Linked DNA regions of Cricetulus griseus. The protein of the gene in region 1 purifies or fractionates together with the protein of each later gene. This does not show direct contact. Links are inferred from orthologs where the notes say so. Each region holds a gene or a part of one and is shown on either strand. Other genes may lie near its edges.

Region 1 (10,521 bases):
AAGGAGCAGATACGAGGGTGGGCATAGCTTCAGCCTTCTGAGACATGCAGACCCTGGATAGATGGCTCGTGGCAGGCAATGCCGCAGCACAGGAGCACCAAGGTGGGTGGGATCTTGGCACAGTGATGAAGGGCAGGGCCTGGACAGAGCTCAGCCTGCTCTGTATAGATAGGGCTTCTAGAGAAAGAATCAGAGTGTAGTGGTATCTTGTTCCGACCATGGACTTGGGGTGGTGGCCACACCTTAGGGTGTGGCTTCAGTGTGTGACGATGGACGTGACCCCTTATAAGGAAGAGGAGGGGCTGGCTCGTGCTCTCTGAAGTTGTGGTTGGAGCATCCTTCAGGGCAGAGGCTGCCCACTGCATCAGAGAATCCACAGAGAAGCCCATGGCAGAATGGGGCAAGCATCATTCTATAGTGACTGCACCATGTGTTCTCATTTTGGTCTCAGGTCCTTACTCCCAGAGGCTGTGAGACAGCAGGAGACTGCAGTCCTCCCACAGTTGCTTGTTTTTCAGCTTCTGTACCTCGTGTTCATTGTTTTTTTGGTCCTTTAGTTTTTTGAAGCCTTGTAATAGGCCACTCCATTTGCTCGGGTCAGCGGCCTGTGCATAGTAACAATGATCATGGCAGAGAAGTAGCTTTCCTGAGTCCCAAACTTCACAACAGCAGCAAAAATTTAACTCAGGGATGCTCATAGGTCGAACATTGTTTTTTGTTTGTTTATTTATTTACGTGCGTGTGTGCGTGCGTTCGTCTATGTGAATATGCACGTATGAATGCTGATCCTTGGGAAGGCTGGAAGCATTAGGTCATCCCCGAGATGGAGTCAGGCTGCTCTAAGCTGTCTGACACAGGTGCTGGGAACCAGACCAGGATTCTTACGAGAACAGTGTGAGCTCTGAAATGTGTAGCTGTCTTTCCAGCCGCCAGTCCCCATCCCCTATGAAGACGGTTTTGCTCTGTTGCTGGAGTCTGACAAACTGGTGAGCTGCCTGCTTCAGCCTTCTGGTGTTGAGATTGCAATGATGTGTTAGCATGCCAGGCTCAAGCCTTTGTCACTCTTTCTTCTCTCTCTCTTCTTTTTAAGATAGGACCCTCCTCCATGTGTAGCAGCTTTCCTGGCTCATTAAATGGTGTGTGGAACATAGGCTAACTTGCCTTTGGGACCTTGGGTGGCTCTTGTAAGGTGTCATGGCATGTCATGGTGGGTGAAGGTGCAGCTGTCCCACGTTCTGGCTTGAGAGAACTCAGAGACTGGTGATGTGGTAGCTCGGGTAGGAGCTCTTTCCCCGGCATCCAGAAAGCAGCAAGTGTGCTTCAGGCTAGTCAGTTCTGCTCTCTGCATTTGTTGCCCAGGCCTTTTCCCTGAGTTCTGTCATACAGAAAGGTGGGTGTATTGTCCACAGCTCACTGTCAGTGCTCATGTCTGAATTTTGGTAGAAGAGGGACTAGAATCCAAGTTCCTTTCATTGCAGGTCATTCTCTTTCAGTTGCACTCAATTGGCTTTTCAACCATGGCCCTTAGGACTTGGAACCCAGGCCACCCATTTCTGTTTTACACATAGCCACCCCTTTTTTGTTTGCCAGAGAGCTCTCCTGATCTTGCTGTCATTCCAGAGCATCTCTAAAATGACTTTGTGGTACAGTTCAACCTTGGTTGTTTTGGGCTATGACTGTCCTCTCCTTACCTGATTTTCATTCGAATCCCCAGGTGCCACACGTCGTAAATGTAGTGATAGGCAAGGTTACGTTTGCTGGGATTTGGTAGAATCAGTTCATTAAGTTAATGGGCTATGGTAATGTAATTATTTGTTCTGAGGTAGAGTAAGTAATGCTGCTTGTGGAATGTTTGGGAGACGCCTTCTGTCTTCCTACTCACATTTGTTAGGGTAGGTTGGGTTTACACATGGATTCTTATTGTGGTCTTTGATTATGTGCCAAATGGCTTGGTGCTCATGGGCTCAGTGTCCAGGTTTGTCAGTGGGCTTCAGATGCACAGGGGGACTGCACAGGCTCCAGGTGCAAGGGCAGCTTAGCCAGGCTAGTGCTAGAAGGACATGGGACGGCTGGCAGTTAAAGCCTTGTCACATGGCCACACATCTGTCACCTGGCTGGGTTTAGATATTTCATAGTTTTGGGTGTTTTTGGTTTTTTTTTTTTGGACAAGGTTTCATTATATAACCCATTTTGGTCATGAACTTTCAGTTCCTCTGGCTCAACCTCCTTAGTGCCAGGATGGCACCAGGTTGTTCTCGGTTAGGACGATCCAAAGAGGACAGGTGAGAGTCAGGCCTTCCTTAATGCTCCTGTAGGTTGCTTTCCTATGTGTGGCTTTCTTGCTTCTTGTCACCTTCATGGTTCTGACTGGTACCCTGCCGTAAGGGTTTCTGGAACTTTCAAAGTTACAATGGCAAGTGAGTCCACTCCAAGTGGTTAAAGGTCAGCAATGTCCGAGTCCTGTAGTCACCTGAACAGGCCTTCTCTTGCCACGTGTAAGAGAGAAGGCTGTCCCTTCAGGGCCTGGTGATGAGTTCACAGGGCAGTGACGTGAGCAGAGGTGTCTCCCTCCACTGCAGGTCCCCATGTCAGCTGTTTGCCAGCCTGTTGTGTTGTTTGTTTTGAGTTGCTGACAGCCCTGCTCACTGTAGAGCAGCCCTAAGACTGCTGTGTGTTCCCAGTCTATCTGATGTGTCTTTCCCGGTGTGTTCTCAGCCTGGGTCCCGTGGACTCTGACATGAGACTCAGACTCAGCACTGGGGAGCCCTGCTGCCTAAGCCCATGTACCAATCACTTCAGTCAGTGCACAGTGGGTTCCTTAAATGGTGACTGTAGTGAAGGGCATTCAGCAGTCTTAGGAAAAGGCTGTCAGTAACTCAAACCAAACGAAACACACAACACAACAGGCCACAAGACTTAGTGACTTATTTTATAATGTTGTATGACGACACATAGACGAAGTCTGTACGGAAGTGCTAGTAGTGATTTTGGTTGTGTGGTGATGTGTTAATGTTTCCCATGTCCATGTGTGACCACACTTCATAGCAAACATTCTGCATGGCTGAATGCAGGTAGAGCGTTTGCTTAGCATGCGTGAGGCCCTACGTCCAATTCCCAGCACTGCCAAAGCAATCAAACAAAACAAAGCTGCTGTAAGTTCTGGGCACAGTGGTCGGCCCTTTACATATCCTTCTGTAACCACCTCCCTCTTGAAAAGCAAGGGGGCGGGGCTCAGGGAAGCAATTCTCTAATGTTGTAAGACTACAGAGCTGGTGTTGAGACCAAGGTTCCCTCTGGATCTGAACAGCTGTGCCTGGCACCAGGCGCTGCTCAAGGGGTGACTCCCAAGCAGCTCCGCCTGCTCGTCGGCTCCTGTGAACACTGCTGCAAGGGCTGTACTGAGCACACCTCACAGGCGCGATGCCTACCATAGACGCGGCCAGTCAGGAGCTATATAGGGCGGGGCATTTGCTTCAACAGATCTGCCCACTGTGTTTTGTCTTGAAATTATGCCAAGGGCTTGTGTTTCTTCTTAGTTCAAGATGATTTTCTTTTTCAGAACCTGAGATTGAAACAGACCCACAGACAGACAGACAGACAGTCTCTCTCTCTCTCTCTCTCTCTCTCTCTCTCTCTCTCTCTCCTCTCTCTCTCTCTCTCTCTCTCTCTCTCTCTCCTCTCTCTCTCTCTCTCTCTCTCCATGTCTTAAAGATGCTTTGGTCCTTGCAGGCAGACATCTGGTCCCTCGGCATCACAGCGATAGAACTGGCCAAAGGAGAGCCTCCACATTCCGAGCTGCACCCCATGAAGGTGTTATTCCTCATCCCAAAGAACAACCCTCCCACACTGGAAGGAAACTACAGCAAGCCCCTCAAGGAGTTTGTGGAGGCCTGTTTGAATAAGGAGCCCAGCTTTGTGAGTGTACCCCGTCTCTGTGGTCTCAGCTGGTTTGAATTTGTTCTTTTGGGGTTGTCCCAGTCACTGTTAGCCACTGTCTCCATGAGCTCATACATCTTTGCAAATGAGTTTGATTTCTTGGAATTACAGAGACTTTTGTTGTTGCCATTTTACCTTTTAGGGATTTAAGATGTAATTATTTTGTTTAGAGTTTTCTAATGTCTTACACCTCATTGAACCTGGAGAATATTCTCTGTAGAACTGGAGTAGGGTCGGCAAGTTTTTAGTGCTCAGAGAGAAACAGGCTGTAAACTGGAAAACTACTTTGGTAATGGCAGAGGCTGGCCTGAAGATAATGGCAGTAAATATTGTTTCCAGTTGTCGTGTGCTGTGAGGCAGACAAATCAGACACATGGGACCTGCCCATCTCTGCCTCCTCTCCCTGGCCCTCTGAGTTTATTCAGCGGTGGCAGAGCCCACGCACCAGCCACATTGAGCTTTGCCTCCTTTTCCTGATAACTGGGGCTTTCCTTTGAAAGCAGCATGTAATTTGTGTCACGTGTAGCATCCTGTGTCCACGTTTTGGGTTTCTTTGAGCAGAGTTAGCTGGCAGCAATGCTTCATTGAACCCTAAGAATATCCATGAGGGGTCCCCTTGGCCTCTTGTCTGAAAATGGTGAGAAAAGCTGAGTTTTCCAAGAGTAGTTCCCCCGTCGGTACCAGCTCAGGCAATGGAATTGATCATATCGTGGCTGCAGATTGAGGTCAGCCTATCTGTCAGCATTTGGTCACTGGGGTGGGTGTGGTCTTGCATGAAGTCCACTTGTTTGATTGCTCAAGGCACAGGGTAGCATCCACAGTATGTTAGCATCCGGGAAGAGACCAAGTGTGTACACATCTTCTAAAGCATGTCAGTGCTCATTTATTACTAGGGTACACCCCTCCATCTTGGCTTGTCCCTGGACCTTCAGACAAGAAGGTCTGCAAAGCTGAGAATAGGAGCACTTGGGACGATGGAGAAGGGGAGGCCACTGGGGTTCTCAGAAATCATGGCTAGAGGAACATGCTGTTCTTACAAGAGGAAAACGTTGATTATCTGGAGCAGGTGGGACTATGGTGTGCCTGGCTGGCACCTCTGTGCTTTTGCTGTCTGTCCCTGGTTGGGCCACTCTGTGTTGAGGGAGCTTTGTGCCAGTAGATGGGAAACCACTGGCTAACCTCTGGGTGTGCCATTCAGTTGGAGTTGTGCCACGTCCAGGTGGTGATAGAGTTGTCGGCCCTTGACACTGGGGTAGGGATAGGTTCACACACTGACTTTTCTAGTTGGGAATGCTGGTGACCGACCAGTTGTGTATCTCCTGACTCCTGCCCCAACCTGTTCTAGATGAGTCTAATTACTGAGTTGGTTTTAATTTGTGGTATTAGCCTAACACTGTAGGAAGTCATGAAGAGCATGTATTTCCCTTAGTCAGCACTTGTCATGAGGTGCCATGTAAAATAGGAGCTACTCTCTCAGGCAGTGCCATGGAAACCAGGAGAAGCTCTCTCGGGCAGTACTCACAAAGCTCTCCCTCTGTGGAGTTACTGTAGAAGGGCTCTTGCTTCAACCTAATGGTTCTGATAGAATGTTTTTGTCCATGTTGGGAACTGTCACATTTACCTTGTGCCTGTAGTCTTGGGCATAGGTGTGGAGTGACTGATCTGGTGTTTTAGCCCAGTGGTCTGGCTGCCCGGGTGGAATAGAGTAGGATGAAGAAGACACTTCTCACGATTATTTGGACGCTTGTGTTTTCCAGAGACCCACCGCCAAGGAATTACTGAGGCACAAGTTCATAATCCGCAATGCAAAGAAAACGTCCTACCTGACCGAGCTCATCGACAGGTACAAGAGGTGGAAGGCGGAGCAGAGCCGTGACGACTCCAGCTCGGAGGACTCGGATGTGTAAGCGGCCCCGCCCCACAGGCTGGAGCTACCAGTCCTTCCTGATGGACTGTGTGTGCATGCGAGTGTCTGTGCTTTGGGCTGTGTCCCTTCCTTTTGGACTTACGCTGAGTTTTGTGTTGTACACGTGCCTTGTTTGAGGTTCTTTGTCCCCGCACTGCCATGGGGTTTGAGTGAGTTCTGCATAATTAGAAGCATAGGCAGAGTTGTGGCAATAGCTTCCTTCTCTTCATTACCCCTGACGATACCCCCCTCTAAAGGTACTGACAGACAGTCCTCGTATGCAGTGCTGAAGAGAAAAGAAAGAATGCTTTGGCGACTGGTCGGTGTTGCTCTGTGTGGGGCAGTTACTCACTGAAAGCGGGTTCCCCTAAGCACCACGTTGTGCCGACTGGCGTGTGAAGTGACTGGCACCCTCCAAACAGGAGCTAGAGGGAGGGTGGCCTGGCTGTCTTGTAAGAGTGAAAGGAGGCACCTGGAGGCCCCATAGCCATTAGCTAGCATCGTGTCTCCATGCCAGGACAGCTGACTGCAAGCCTCTGCGACCCACCCATGTCTGAAGATCCTGGTTACTGTTTATAACCAAGGTTGAGACCACTGACTGGATGGTTAGCTCAACAGCGAAGGCTGAAGAGAGTGGAGGCAGGGCTGGGGGCCAGGCTGTGGCAGTAGGTGTGGATGGAGGTGTCAAGGTCCTGACCTGTCACACCAGCTAATCCCAGCTACCAGAGCCTTGCTGAAACCATCTCAAAATAAAATGTACACAAAGTGCTGGGATTGTTGCTCAGGATCTGCCTAGCATGTTATAGGAGGCTCTGGGTCTAATCCCCAGTGAAGGGTTTGGGTAAAGGAAGCAGGGAAGGAAGGAAGGTGTTCCAGGTTTCAGCACTGAGGAGTAATGTCACTGTGGTAACACATCACAAACAGTTTGATGTGGGCCATGTTGGAATTTGAGCTGCTGTGGAATGGTGTAGAAGACACGTAGCTTAAAGGATTGTTGTGGCACTGAGAGCAGGCAGAAGACACAGACTTATGTATACCCTGCTGTAGAAAAGACCTTGGAATTGGCGCTGTGAGAAGATGGCGTCACTTAAGGAGAGGGGTCAGAGCCGGGAGTCAGCCTCTAGGAAGCCAGCATCAGAGGACGGTGGGGACATGGGAGCAGCTGTGGCTCTGTCGGTGGGAAAGGATGGAGGTGACAGGACAAGTGTGAGGCATTGCTGCTGAGGGCCAAGCAGGCTCCAGAATGAGCAGGGAGGTGACCCCCTTCTCTGACAGTGTGTAGGGTTTTGGTGGCAGTACACCAGGGGGCTGTGGCGTTAGGGACAGTGATAGATAGTGAGTAGAGTTGCTTAACTTGTAGCTCGGCGTGGCTGCGAACGGGCTGTGGCCTAAGGGGAGAAGAGGAGAACAAGGTACCTGCAAAGAAAGTGAGGTTCAAGTGAGGGACAGAGAAGGGGCAGATGGTACTTAGGAGAGGTGTGGCACCTTGTTGTGCCACAAGCAGCAGGCAGCAGCGGCAGCGGCAGCATAGTGGTAGTGGGCCGGTAGCACGAGGGCAATCCTAGGAGCCACACCCCTTCCCGTCCTCTGTGATGTTCTGGGAGGCCTCCAGACTGAGGGGCACTGGCGACTGAGTGGGGCTGGGGTCAGTGGCATGGGCTGTGTGGTTCATGGCCTAGCCCATGTTGGTGAATTTGGTGGAATTTCTGTGTTAAGGGAAACAGATGGCCAGGCGTCTGGAGGCAGTGACTCTGGGGACTGGATCTTCACAATCCGGGAGAAAGATCCCAAGAATCTGGAGAATGGGACTCTTCAGCCATCAGATTTGGAAAGAAATAAGGTACGGTGGTGGTTTGTGCAATCTCCCATGCCCATGCTCGCCCAGGACAAGCCTGCTGTGGGAGTGGATGTGGAGCTCCTCGAAGCAGCTCCTTGGTGGCATTGCCCTCAGGGAATTGGTCCTGCCTGAGAGTGTGGATGCTGGCCTGTGTGCCCTTCACCTCCTGACCCTCGGCCACATGGTGGCGCTGGAAGTGTCACACATGACCACTCTGTGAGCACTTGCTGGACTTCTCATAACATTGCTGATTTTATGGGGGAGTTTTAATTGTTGATATTTAATACAGACTTGAGGAGGTGGTTTGTCTCCACTTAAATTTACAGAAAGCTATGTTGTGAAGATTTATTTATTTATTTATTTATGTTCAGTTGTCAGGCTATGTGGACTACTTGTGACCATACAGCCTCCTCTGGTGAGGTAGGCAACTTCAGAGAGGTGGGGGGAACCGGGCTTTTCATACAATGGCTGCCTGGAGCACCTGGCTTTAGTCCTCCAGAGTGTCCTTGGAAAAGACTGCAGAGCAGGGCAGGGCAGGGCAGCAAGTTTGTTCTCACCTACCTGGTATCTTGCAGTGATTTCCCGTGGGGCCCCTCTGTCGACAGTCTCACTCAGATAGTAACAGAAATCACTTCCAGGAGTTCACTGGAAAATCCAGTCCATACCTTGGTAGAACCTTTGCCTGTCTCAGTGTTGCCTGTTTCTAATGGCCCCTTTTCTTTTCTTCCCCAAGATGAAAGACATCCCAAAGAGGCCTTTCTCTCAGTGCTTGTCCACAATAATTTCTCCTCTGTTTGTGGAGGTAAGATCCCTGGCTGCCTTTCTTGTGGGGAGGGATTAGGAGGGGGGACAAGGGGAGCAGGGCTGTTCTTTTGTAGGTGGCTGTCGGGACAAGTTGGGGCCATTAAAACGCCTATAGCAGAGGCAGGCTCAGTGTCTTCATCTCAGTGGCTTCCATAAGCCAGGCACATGCGTAGGGAAAGCTGTTTGGATTTCCATGTTTGTCCGGCTGTGTAGGTTTTACTGGGCTTAAACTATTGAAATCATTTCTCAGTAGTGACCCCCAAATCCAAATCCACCAGAAATGAGTTAATACTGTGGAAGTTCTAGAGAACCCAGAGGAAATACTTCCAGTCCCTCCCGTTCGTCTGTCCGTATTCGCCTGTGTCGTGCAACCCCCCCCCCCCCCATGCACTGTCGTTAGGAATCAGGGCTGCAACTAGAGGGGAGAATTCAGTGTTCATCGTGGTTCCCAGAGCTCAGTAAACACACAAGCATGGGCGAACCAGCGCACGACGCTCCATGCTGCAGTCTGCTTATCCAGGGCGGTTACGCACGTACACACGCATGCACGCACGCACGCACGCAGTGATAAGGGGCTGTTCAATCAGACAGTCCTGCTGATAGGGGGACTCTGGCTCTTTCTTTGCTTCTGCTTTGAGACACACAGGTGTGGGGCAGGCGGTATTAGCAAACAGACATGTTTGTTGTGTGCTGCTTCTGTGGGCCTCTCCAGTGTCAGCCGTGGTCAGTTGTCTCTTCTCCATGGCCCACTCGTAGGGCGACAGGGGTTGTCTGTTCTCAGCACCCTGCAGAATCTGAGCTGAGTCTTTCCTGACACATTTGCAAAGTCATGGAGGGGGAGCTCTGGAGGACCTGTGTGTCTGGCTTCTGCAGCTGCTACCTGGATGTTTGGGGAGGTCGTGGATCTTGAGTGAACTCAGCCCTGATGTGAGCGGCTCTTGTGCTGTACTCCGAGTGCCTTCTGGAAAGAGAGTTGGCATTGGTCTTCATGCCCGGGAGGTGTGCCTAAGCACACAGCTGTGACTCATGGGACCAGAGGAGGTGTTGCCCAAGTCCCAGGGCTCAGGGTGGCCACGTGAGAACATTTGACAGCACTCCTGGCCCTAAAGGCAGTGTGTCTGAGTTTTACCCCAGCCCATAACCATCAGGAGTGCGGCTTTGATGACCTTCATAGTAGCTGCCAGTGAATCCAGAGTTGCATGTAGTTGACCTTGATAGCACTTTCTGCAGTGAGGAGAGGGAATGGATTTGCGCCTTCAGACTCACTTGTGTGTGGAGTTGTGCAGCGTTGTTCTTGCATGGAAGAGTCAGGTGCGGGTCCTCTCTTGCCCTATATGTACATAATGTTCATAGAGGCCCAAGATAGGTGTCCCAGAGTGACTGAGCAGCCACCAAGCTCATGCCTGATCCCTTGACAGCCTGACGTGGTGGTGTCGGTGATGGCATCAGGGCCCACCCAGGTTTGTGCACACACATGTCTCATTGCTCTTGTATACATTTTCAGCTGAAGGAGAAGAGCCAGGCATGTGGAGGAAACTTGGGGTCAATAGAAGAGCTCCGAGGAGCCATCTATTTGGCAGAAGAGGCTTGCCCTGGGATCTCTGACACCATGGTGGCTCAGCTTGTGCAGCGGCTGCAGAGGTAACTGGCCTTGGGCTGGAGCGGGTTTGTAGGAGGGGAGCCTGGTGGTGCGGCATGGCTTCCTGGACTAGGAAGCTGCCACAGGCCGCAGCTTGGCATATCTCTTGGGTGCTTCATTCTTGACTGTTCCTGTTGTCCCCCAGACCAGGGGCTTACAGCAAAACCTATTGAAGGCTTATTCTGAAGTGTACAAATGAAAGAAATGAATCTGGGAAAGACCACAGAGCCTTGCATTTATAGCTCTTGCCAGAGAAATGCAAGATGCCTTAAAAGACCTCTGTGTCCGTGGTCTTACAAGCAGAGAGACAGAGCCTCAGTCACAATGCTTACTGGGAGCTGGGTTTGAAGCCAGAGGCTTTGGTGTGCCATGCTTAGAGCTGTGCTTGTAGGTCTGTGC
Region 2 (10,521 bases), on another chromosome or scaffold:
TGTTGCTTCCAATTTTTTTCAAGCACAATTTATCTTAATAAATCCTGTTACAAATATGGGGGAAGTGAAATAACAACCTCATCACAACACTAGTATTCATCAGAAACTCTCAATAATGAGAGAAATGGTAATATCTGGTTACCTGGATTAGTAATGACAGAATAGACCCGAATCCATACAGCTACTCTACGGATGTTAGAAAGTCATTCAGTTGTGCAGCATCATAGGCAAACATTAGTAAAGGTAAGGACGTTGCATAGCAGGTCACGAGACAGAGGGGACATGCAATGGCAGAAGAGGAGGAGCTGAGGACAGCTTCTGGCACCAGCTTCAGAGGGTGGAGAGGGGTTAAGGTCACAGCCCAGACCATTCTCGTTTTTGGATTTAGCTTCCAAGCCAATCATACATGAGGATACTTTAAAGAATATATTTAAGGAAAGAAAAAAGTCTGAACCAAATGAAATAAAATGTATAAAATAAATAATAGTGATAAGGAAAACCATGACGAAATAGAAACAGAAAATGTGCAAGGGTTTGGGGACTCGGTTGCCTGGAGTTAACACCTGCTTTAAACTTACTCATCCAATCACTGACTGTGCATGTTCATTTGATAAGTTCCTGAGGGACAAGAACTTCTAATTTATTTAGAACTTACAACACAATTTCAAAAATTCGTGGTTTGACAAGAAGTTGCCTCTGCTTAGTGCAAGTGACAATGCAATCCATTAAAATGGGAACCTTCTGTCATCCCAGCTTTCTTCTGGGCTTTCAGGTCACTTAATTGTTAGACACAGAAGATGACAGGTACACAGGTGATCTCAAGAGAAAGATTATGGGGTCCAGGGCAAGGAGGGACAGACAGTAAACTATCTTACCCATCAGGATAAGGCAGGACAGCCTTCAGTAGGGAAATAATTTTTGTATCCAAGAGTTTATGTTTTAGATGGCAAAGCCAGTAGCATAGAAATAATGTCTCTCCAGGATCAGAACCACAAAAGAGCAAAAATTAGGAATTGCAGTTCCTAGTCACTGCAATGGGGTCAGTGGGAAGTTAATGACTTCCTATGTGCTAATGACCTATGAAGGGACAAGCCCACCTAGGCACAGCCAGGTTAAGAGGCAGATGGAAGGTGCTCTGGTGCTTTCTAGCTGAGATGGGGGTGTTGGCAGACACTGCAGTGGAGCTCAGAAGTGAAGTGCTCACCTCGCATGCACAAGGCCCTGGATAGGCAGCCCAGCACCACCCAAATAATCTTAAAAACAGAAGAATTGGAACAAACGAAATGCAATACAGCCGAAACACCATCAAATTTGGGGAGTTTAGGATGGCCTACTCCTGCAGTTGAATTCTATAATTATACAAGCATGCATCCATCAGTCTAACATTTTTGCCCTCGGAGTACATGAGGAGGTTCTTAATAACACCTGCTGAAGGACTAACTCCTCTGGTGCCACCCTGCTGCCCCAAAGAGGCACACCTTATAATCAAGCCAACAGAGGCCTGCTATTCCACCAAAGGTCTTCCTATAGTTGAGGTGACTATGGCCAAATCAAAAGACTGGATATCAGAAAACAACAAACTGATTGTACATATCTTCCACGGTGACTGCTTCGACAAAAACTCTATTTATATTCTCCTTAGCACCTCAGATATTCCCAAAAGGCATTTTATTTTAGGGTCCTGGCTTCTTTATCTAGAATTCCACTGAACACAAAATAGGTTGTTTGGGCAAACATTTAATACAGTAGGGATTAGCCATCTTGTAAAACTTCCCTCAAAAACCAGTGACTACACATGCTGCCTCTGGAGCTTCTCTTCAAACCTTAAGGATGTCTGCAGCTGGAACTGGGATCAGTGCCTACCCAGGCAGCAGCCAGCAGAGCCAAAGTATCAGAGGACAGATGGCTCTGCAGCTGTAAACAAACCAGCTGATGACATTCATGTGCCCTGGGAAGTGCTGTCTGTCATGCAGTCTATACATTGCACCAGAGCACTCACGGGGCTCCAAATGACTTTGGAGCCGATGCTTTCCAGCGACCTGCAGGTCTTAAGGTTCATGTTTAGAATCTTCTGGGTGGTACCAAATCTCTCCTTTGTCGGGGCATGTTTAACAAGTGGGAAAGCTAACATAATTCTGAGCAATACCAAGAGATGCAACCATTTTGGAGAGAAATAAAAGGGAATCTCCAATACCTATAAAGACAGTGCAAAATGACACTAAGATCAACTGTAAGGCCTATTCTCCAAAGAGCTATAGCAAGACTCTTAATGAGGCTGTGACTGCTCGTGCTGCCCCAAGTCAGTGCCATGCCTTGATGCGTCACGGTCTCTGAGACTCCTTCCAGCAACCCTCTCTCTGAGCAGTATACACTCCTATTTAAGGAAGAAAGAACCTGCTCATTATCAGGAACACAGTTACACACCACAGAGCCTCAACTATAACACTGATCTACCACTCCAAAGTTCATGATGTTTCTGGCTCTCAGTTTTTGCCCTCAGAAATGAAAACCCCTCTCTCAAAGCTGAATTTCAACGGGAACAGGGACAGCTTGATCTACAAGCATGCCATCTGCAGCACTTACCCCCTCAAGGACAGGGCTGCATGCTTTAAGTTATAAATGTGATGCTCTGGAAATGCTCTTTTCCTTTTTAAACCCCTTCTCTTTAGAGCCCAATAGACCTGCTGACCCCAATGTGTGATGTCAGCACCAACTGTTCCAGGTGCTAACAGAGCTTCGACACCAAGCATGTCACTTTAGCCTTGTTAATAAAAAAAGAAATGCTTCCATGAAACTATATACAACAAAAAGAAAATTATCTAGTCCTTTTGCAACTCCCCCAACCAGCAACTTCAGGATGCCCTGATGCAATGGGAACTTTAACATGACACATGTGGCACAGAAGCCATCTGTGTGCTCAAGACTTAGAGGACACTACCTTATCAAACAGGGTACCTGGCATTCACTCATGGTCCTTTGTTGAAGATAAGAAGGGAATGTTCATACCAAACAGATATTCACCTCCAGTCCATTACCTACAGAGCAAACCCCCATCGACGACTGCTAAACCCGAGTGGTGTGAACAGTGACTTGAAAGGATGTTTCCTATGTCACCCTAGAAGGAACGAATTGAATGCACACTAAGGATGATCCATTAACACTGAGGTCTCCTGAGATTAAATATTTGATAAGAAGGGATACTCTATCCTCTCCTGGAAATGCTTTAGTCTCTCTAAATTAATGGTCTTTGTGTGCTTCAAAAACCACTATTTTCAAGTTATTTTCAAGAAGAAGAACTTAGCATGATGGAACCACAATTCATAGGGCAAGATGAATCACCATCACCCAAGAGCCTTAAAGACAATTAAAAAGAAAAAAAAAAACAGAGGAAATAAATGGGGAAACGGGGAAGGGGTATTAAAAATGTTTTCAGACAATTTGAAAGAAAATAGGACAGATGAGAGAATAGGCCACATTCTTTAACAAGGGTGTAAGAGTTCAATCCCTTTACCTGATGCTGTTACCAGGAGGCTGTCTGAGGCACCGGGGCTATGGGATGAGGCACTAAGAGGGTTTATGGAAGAGCAAAAGGCAGTGGTGGTGGGAATGTCAAGGGAGCTGTCTGAACATGCAGGTTGGTTCAGTCCAAGGGTTTCAGCAGGCCAGGCACCCACCTGAGACGCAGCCAGGGCCGAAACGGGACAGCCCGCAGGTGCCACAGTTAAATCTATGGATGGTTTTGGTGGCAGTTGGGGGGAAGATGACTTAGGGATGTTCTCCTCATTTACTACCTTGGTCCCTTGTGGCAAAGTGGAGGGAGGTGAAGCCACAATTTTGTTATCAACTTTGGCCCCTGCATTGGAGGCCCTCAGCTGGGGGTGTGGTGGAGAAGGAGTTTGGGAGAGCCCTGGCTTTTTGGGAGGGATAGGAGGAGGATTTCCTCTGTCAACTCGTGCTGCCCCAGGAGTCTTTAAACCCGTTCGACTGACTGGAGGGCAGGTGCCAGCATCCCCTCCTGGGGATGTTCCCAGCCTTGGAGAAGCACCTGCTTGAGGGCTGGTGAATCTTGACAGTGCCTGGGTCACAGTATTCCGGGCTAGCTGCTTGGCAACTAGGTTGTCACGACTTGTAGGAGAGACATCTCTTGAGGGAGGACTTTGGGTGGTATTTCCATTCTGGTCTGGGTCATTAGCATTGCCCTGAAATCTAAATCTGGCTGCTTGGATTCGTGGGTTGAGACCTGGATGCAAAGGTGTGTTGGCACATGGTGAATGTAAACTGTGCACAGGGGGAGCCTGTGAGAGGCTCTGAGGAGCTGTGCCTGGTGTCTGGGCAGTGGCAGGGACAGTGCCACTGGGGGTTGTGGGTGTGCTATTTGATAGATCGGGGACGGAGCCCGTGCTTGGTCCATTTTCCTCAATTCTATTTGCACTTGGTGTCGGGGCAGTAGGTAGAGAGGTACCCAAGTCACTGTGGGAAGCCTGCCTGTCAATACCTGGTCTAATCAGTAGGGCACCTGGGCCCACATTCCCTTTTGTGTTTGTGGGAACTTGAGGGCTCCCTGTGGAAGGCTTTATGGGTACAGTCAAAGGCAACTTCTTCACAGGGTCAGTGCTTTCTGTCACTGCATCTGTCTGGCAAGCAACAGACTTTATCATGGGCCCTTCTGTTGCCACAGATACTGAAGCCAGGCGCCTATCTTTTGTCTTCCGTGGGAGGGAGAGGCCTGGCTTGCTGTCATTTCCCCTTTTCATTTGCTCCATTATTTTCTTCATCTTGTCTATCTCCTCTTTGAGGTCAGTGGTGTGTGCCTCTTCTCGGTTCAGCTTGGCACGCAGCTGTTCCCGTTCTGTATCGAACTCGGAGAGCTGTTTCTCCAGCTGAGCTTCCATTCCGGCGCTTCTTTGTTTCTCCACTGAGAGCTGGTCTTCCAACTCACTTGTCTTTTTCTTTTCCTCCTCCAGTTTCACCATGACTTCCTCCAGCTTCTGGGCCTCCTCCACGACTTTGCCTGAGAGCTGCTTACACTCTTTCACCAGCATCAGGACCACATGCTTGTTCTTGCCCCTTTCCTCCTCCAGGTGGGCAGCCAGCTTCTTGTGCTCCTGCTCAAGGGCCTGGAGCTGAAGCTTTTCCATCTCCAACTGGAAGATATTCAAAGGGAAGCCTGGATTAATAGACACAATAGTCTTTGTATCATAGAAGGGCTTTTTGTTAATTTCTGAACAAAGGCATGATTTGGGTTAGCAAAAGTGCCACATTTTGTTATGATTTTTGAAAGGATAATGTTTAAAGACTCATTAAAATGGGAAGATTGCCGTAAATGGCTTTATTAAAAACACCTACATGGCAACAAAAGGGAATTGTTTTAATCTATTAAAGTTAACTACAGTGCAAGAGAATCATAGTAGGATGCCTCAAATCACAGCGCAGAGTTCAAAAGGGGCTGTTTTGATGAGCAGAGATCAGTGAGAGAATGGGTGCCACTTAATGATGGTTCAGTGGCTGGAAATTACTTTGAGCTACACAATCAGAGTACTTAAATTCCAAGCTCCATATCTGCCAATGGTATTCTATTGCTAAGTTATTTATTTACCTCTTTGAGCATCTTTTGATGGGCTGGAAGTCATATGTAACCACATGTAAAGGGATTTTTAAAATAAAACTATAAAGAGATAGCAGATTATTTCATTAGAACTACAGTCTATGCTAGTGAGCCTAGAGACTGACCCTCAGCCTTTACTTGGATCCCACTTTGCAGTCCAGCTACGTTGTCTTTCCTGGCATTTCTTGAACTTGGCCCTACCTCTTGTCTCAGGGTCTTTGACCTTGTTGTCCTGTCTGCCTACAATCCCTCACACACCTTCAGGAGGCTCTCCTTCATGAAGAATGCTATGCATGTCACAGAAGTAACTAGCAAGCAAAACCTATGGCTCCCCTGCTCATCAAACTTATGTGTGGGGCTGATCTGCCTTTTCATCAGCTAAATGTATTGGCTGCTCATGAAGCCACAGGATTGACACAGAGAGTAAGCTTATAAAACCTTTATGTCTCCAGATGTGAGGGGAGGGCACTGAACCCAGGGCTGCATGCATGATAAAAGTGCCCTACCATTGGGCTACACTGCCACCCTGAGGTGATGAGATTCCTTCATAGTCACAGAAATCATCGAGCAGCAGAAGAGGTTGGCTCCCCTCTTTCCTTCAGGCTTCTGTTTGACTGTAACCCTTACAGTGAGGCCTGTTTTATGTCAACTTGATACCGGCCAGAATCATCTGGAAAGTGGTAGCCATAGTTGAGAAAGTACCCCCATGATCCTGGCCTGTAGCCTGTGGGGAATTTTCTAGATTGATGGATGGTGTTGGAGGGTCCAGCTTACTGTGGGCAGTGACAGCCCTGGACTGGTGGGACTGAGCAAGGCAAGAAGAACAAGTCAGTAAACAGCACTCTTCCATCATGCCTCTGCATCGATTTCTGCCTTCAGGTTCCTCCCTTGATGATGGACTGTGATACGGAAGTGTAAGCAAAAAACCCCTTTCCTTTCCAAGATGCTGTTGGGTCATGGTGTTTCATTACAGCAGTAAAAACCCTAAGACACGGGTTGGAGAGATGGCTCAGCGGTTAAGAGCACTGACTGTTCTTCCAGAGGTCCTGAGTTCAAATTCACGGCAACCACATGGTGACTCACAGCCACCTTGAATGAGATCTGGTGCCCTCTGCTGGCATGCAGGCAGAAGACTGTATACATAATAAATAAATAAAATCTTTAAAAAAAAAAAAAACCCTAAGACACCTTCTTTCACCTCCATAGAAAGCCCCTTTCTTGTTGTCCATACCATTTTTGTTTAGTATCTATCTGTCTTCTCTACAACATGACTTTATGAGTGGAAAGACTAAGAATCATTTGCTGTGTCCTCCAGACCTACAATAGTGGCTGGCACATGGTTGTACATGATAAATTGTTTAATGAATGAATGAAGTTAGCATTGTTGCTCTATAGTAATTTACTAAAAGAAACAGCTTTTCTGAGCACATGAGCAACATTTATAACTGCATTTTTATTAATGGCTATATATTACACAAAATAATTATCTTTGTGGTATTTTCATGTATGTATATATAACACATATATACAGAATTTAATCAAATTCTTCTCCAATTATCTTCTTTCGAACCTCCCCACCATTGGTCCCCTTCCTCTTCCTAAATAGTTTTTGTCATGGGGAATCTTTGCTATTAACTTTTGGAATCATCTAGGAGGTGTATTACCTCTGCGCATGTCTATGAGGGTGTTTCCAAAAAAGGAAAGCTCACCTTGAGCAGGCAGCGCCATTCCATGCACTAGGGTCCTAGACTGAATAAAACAGGGAAAGGGGGAAGCCAGCTGACCATAGCCACAATGTGACCAATTGTCTCACATTCTTGCCACCTTGCCTTCCAGAGCATGAGACACGCTATCCCCTCAAACCAGGAGACCAAATAAACCTGTCCTTCCTCAAATTGCTTTTGTAAAGAATTTTGTCAGAGAAATGGGAAAAAGAAATAAATATTTTCTTCCTTATGATTTTATGTCATATTTAGAAATGCAGAATCTACAGGAGAGAAAACGTGTAAGGTTTGTCTTCCTGAGTTGGCTTATTTGGTTTAAAATCATGCTCTCCAGTTCACTTCACTTTCCTAAAAGTAACATCATTCCAGTCTCCTTTAAGGCTGGATCACACTATACTATATACATAAACCACACTTTCTTCATCCGGCCATTCATTAATGGGCACCTAGGCCAAGTCCCTGTCTTAGTTGTCCTGAGGTAACATGAGAATTCCAGATTCTGTATGCTACCTTAGATTCTGTCAGGAATCACACATTCAGGAGTAGTAGCCAGTTACATTATTCTGACAAGTCCTCGAGATTGTTTATTTTCTACTGAGAAGTATGTGTCATGAAACTATGAAACATTAAGGGTATACCATGGGCTGCGATGCAGCAATCAGGTTGGCCCACCCACTGCACCTGTCCACTACAAACTATTTTCCTGTTAGTCCAGAAAGTGCTTCATGGGTCAAAGTGGATTTAGTTGTTTAAAGATGAAGAAAGGCTATTTTATCTCCTTTTGATATTGAAAACAAACACGTGGGCATAACCTAATTGTGTTTTGTATGACTGTGATTCACAGTTGCATCAAACAACATCATTAAGGGAACCATTTCTTCCTCCCTTGATAGTAATAACAACACTTTGAAGTTGTGTACAGTGTTTTAGATACAATACAAACACATAGACTACAGTACAGTATTAAAAACACTTGCATTCTTTGGGAAATGAAAAGATGTCTGGTACTTCCAGACTGTTCAACAGTTTACTGGTTTAGGCACAAACATGAAATGTATTCTCTGTAAAGTCAATACTTGGCTCAAGTCAAATTTTAGCTACCTACAGCAGAGGAAGGTAAAATGTTCTAAAGACCAACAACTTTGGGCAGTCCTAATATGCCTCTTCTGGAAGAATCCACTATGCTATTGCTCTGACAGTGTCATGAGACCATAAGAAGACCTCTGTTTAACCAGAGGTCACAGCTATTATTTTATTTTATTTTTTCTCCATTTTTAAATTTAAATTAGAAACAAGATTGTTTTATATGCCAATCCCAGTTTCCTCTCCCCTGCCCCCCACTAACACCCTACTTATTCCATACCATTTCTGCTCCCCAGGGAAGGTGAGGCCTTCCAGGGGGGGGGGTCTTCAGAGTCTGTCATATCCTTTGGGATAGGGCCTAGGCCCTCCCCCATATGTCTAGGCTGAGGTATTATCCCTCTATGTGAAATGGGCTCCCCACTATGCTAGAGATAAGTACTGATCTACTACCAAAGGCCTCATAGATTTCTGAGGCCTCTTCACTGACATCCACTCCACGTTCATGGGGTTTGGATCAGTCCTATGCTGGTTTCCCAGATATCAGTCTGGGGTCCATGAGCTCCCACTTGTTTATGTCAGCTGTTTCTGTGGGTTTCACCAGCCTGGTCTTGACCCCTTTGCTCATCACTCCTCCCTCTCTGCAACTTGATTCCAGTTCAGTTCAGTGCTTAGCTATGGGTGTCTGCTTCTACTTCCATCAGCTGCTGGATGAAGGCTATAGGATGGCATATAAGGTAGTCATCAATCTCATTCTCAGGGGAGGGCATTTAAGGTAGCCTCTCCTCTGTTGCTTAGATTGTTAGTTGGGGTCACCTTGCAGATCTCTGAACATTTCCCTAGTGCCTGATTTCTCTTTAAACCTACAATGGCTCCATCTATTATGGCATCTCTTATCTTGCTCTTCTCTATTCTTCCCCTGACTCAACCTTCCTGCTCCCTCATGTCCTCCTCTCCCCTAAGTTTCAGGTAGGTGTGTGTGTGTGGGGGGGGGGTGTCTGTGTGTTCTATGTGTGTATGTATTCTGTGTGTGGAAGCCAGAGGTCCATTCTCTGGCTGATTTCTGAGATAGAGTCACTCATTAAAGCTGGGGCTCACTGACTGGGCTAGACTGACCAGCCAGTGAGGTCCAGGGATTCATCTCCTCGCCAGTGCTAGATGTCTTGACCACGTTGTTTCTTCAGTATGGAACACCACACCTTATTTCTTTTATAGCTTTCATCTTCTATCTCAGAATCAAATTTGAGAAACCTCTAAATGAAAAACGTGTAACTAATGGCTGATATTTATACCCCAAACTCCACTACTATAAAAGTACCCACAAGTCTTTGGTAATTGCTGTTCTTCCATCAGTAGTGCCTCTACAATTCTACCTAGACAGTGAGACAGCCACACAATAGGCCCCCAACGTCACCATCACTCACTCTTCTCCAGCTTCCTTTACCACTCACTACAACAGATATTTCAAATCTTCACCTCTGCTGATGCAATGTTCCTGATGGTTTCTAAGATGACTCCTGGTACACCTTCACATGATTCCTTTACCAAGAAGATTCACTCACTGAGAGAATGGTTTCCATCTGTCCAACATTAGACTTTCCTTTAGTAATTAACTCGATTCTTTCCAGTCACTTCTTGGACTTGTTCCATTACTTACCACATTTCTCCTTGCAAATATCAAACATGTGCTCTGTAAATCTTCCCACTGGGACAGAACACACTCCCATGCCTTGTGTGTGTTTCAGAGATGCGGAGGTGCAGTGCCAAGTCTGATCCCAAGCTTCTTACTTGTATGACCTTGCTAAATTGTAACTAGAAAGCTTAGTTCTGTATGGTTTCCTTACTTGCACAACAGCAGACATATATTAATCAGGAATCACATGAGACCAGTGTTTTAAGATCCTGCACCATAATGGAGACACAGTACAATTCCTTATCACCAAACAGAAAACTGACTTATTTGCCTCACCTTCCAAAAATATAGGCTCAAAAGAAACAAAAGCCAAAGGCTCAGTGGCAGAACGCATGCCTAACATGCAACAGACTTCGAATTTGGTCACCAATGCCCTCTAGGAAGAGAGAGAGGCAGAGTGTTTGACTCAAAGTATTATT

Evidence for each region.
Region 2: the proteins of Stk24 (region 1) and Cttnbp2 purify together in Homo sapiens (affinity purification with mass spectrometry; 3 studies listed by BioGRID and IntAct, with this or other methods). This does not show direct contact. The link is inferred for Cricetulus griseus from reciprocal best matches to the Homo sapiens genes STK24 and CTTNBP2.

The regions. Positions count from the first base shown.
Region 1 is NW_023276807.1:271,167,398-271,177,918, reverse strand, and holds part of Stk24 (serine/threonine-protein kinase 24), read left to right. Parts: intron 1-3,729; coding exon 3,730-3,915; intron 3,916-5,693; coding exon 5,694-5,839; intron 5,840-7,558; coding exon 7,559-7,682; intron 7,683-8,412; coding exon 8,413-8,481; intron 8,482-9,987; coding exon 9,988-10,124; intron 10,125-10,521. UniProt on the Homo sapiens protein: Serine/threonine-protein kinase that acts on both serine and threonine residues and promotes apoptosis in response to stress stimuli and caspase activation.
Region 2 is NW_023276806.1:208,170,539-208,181,059, reverse strand, and holds part of Cttnbp2 (cortactin-binding protein 2), read right to left. Parts: intron 5,145-10,521; coding exon 3,512-5,144; intron 1-3,511. UniProt on the Homo sapiens protein: Regulates the dendritic spine distribution of CTTN/cortactin in hippocampal neurons, and thus controls dendritic spinogenesis and dendritic spine maintenance.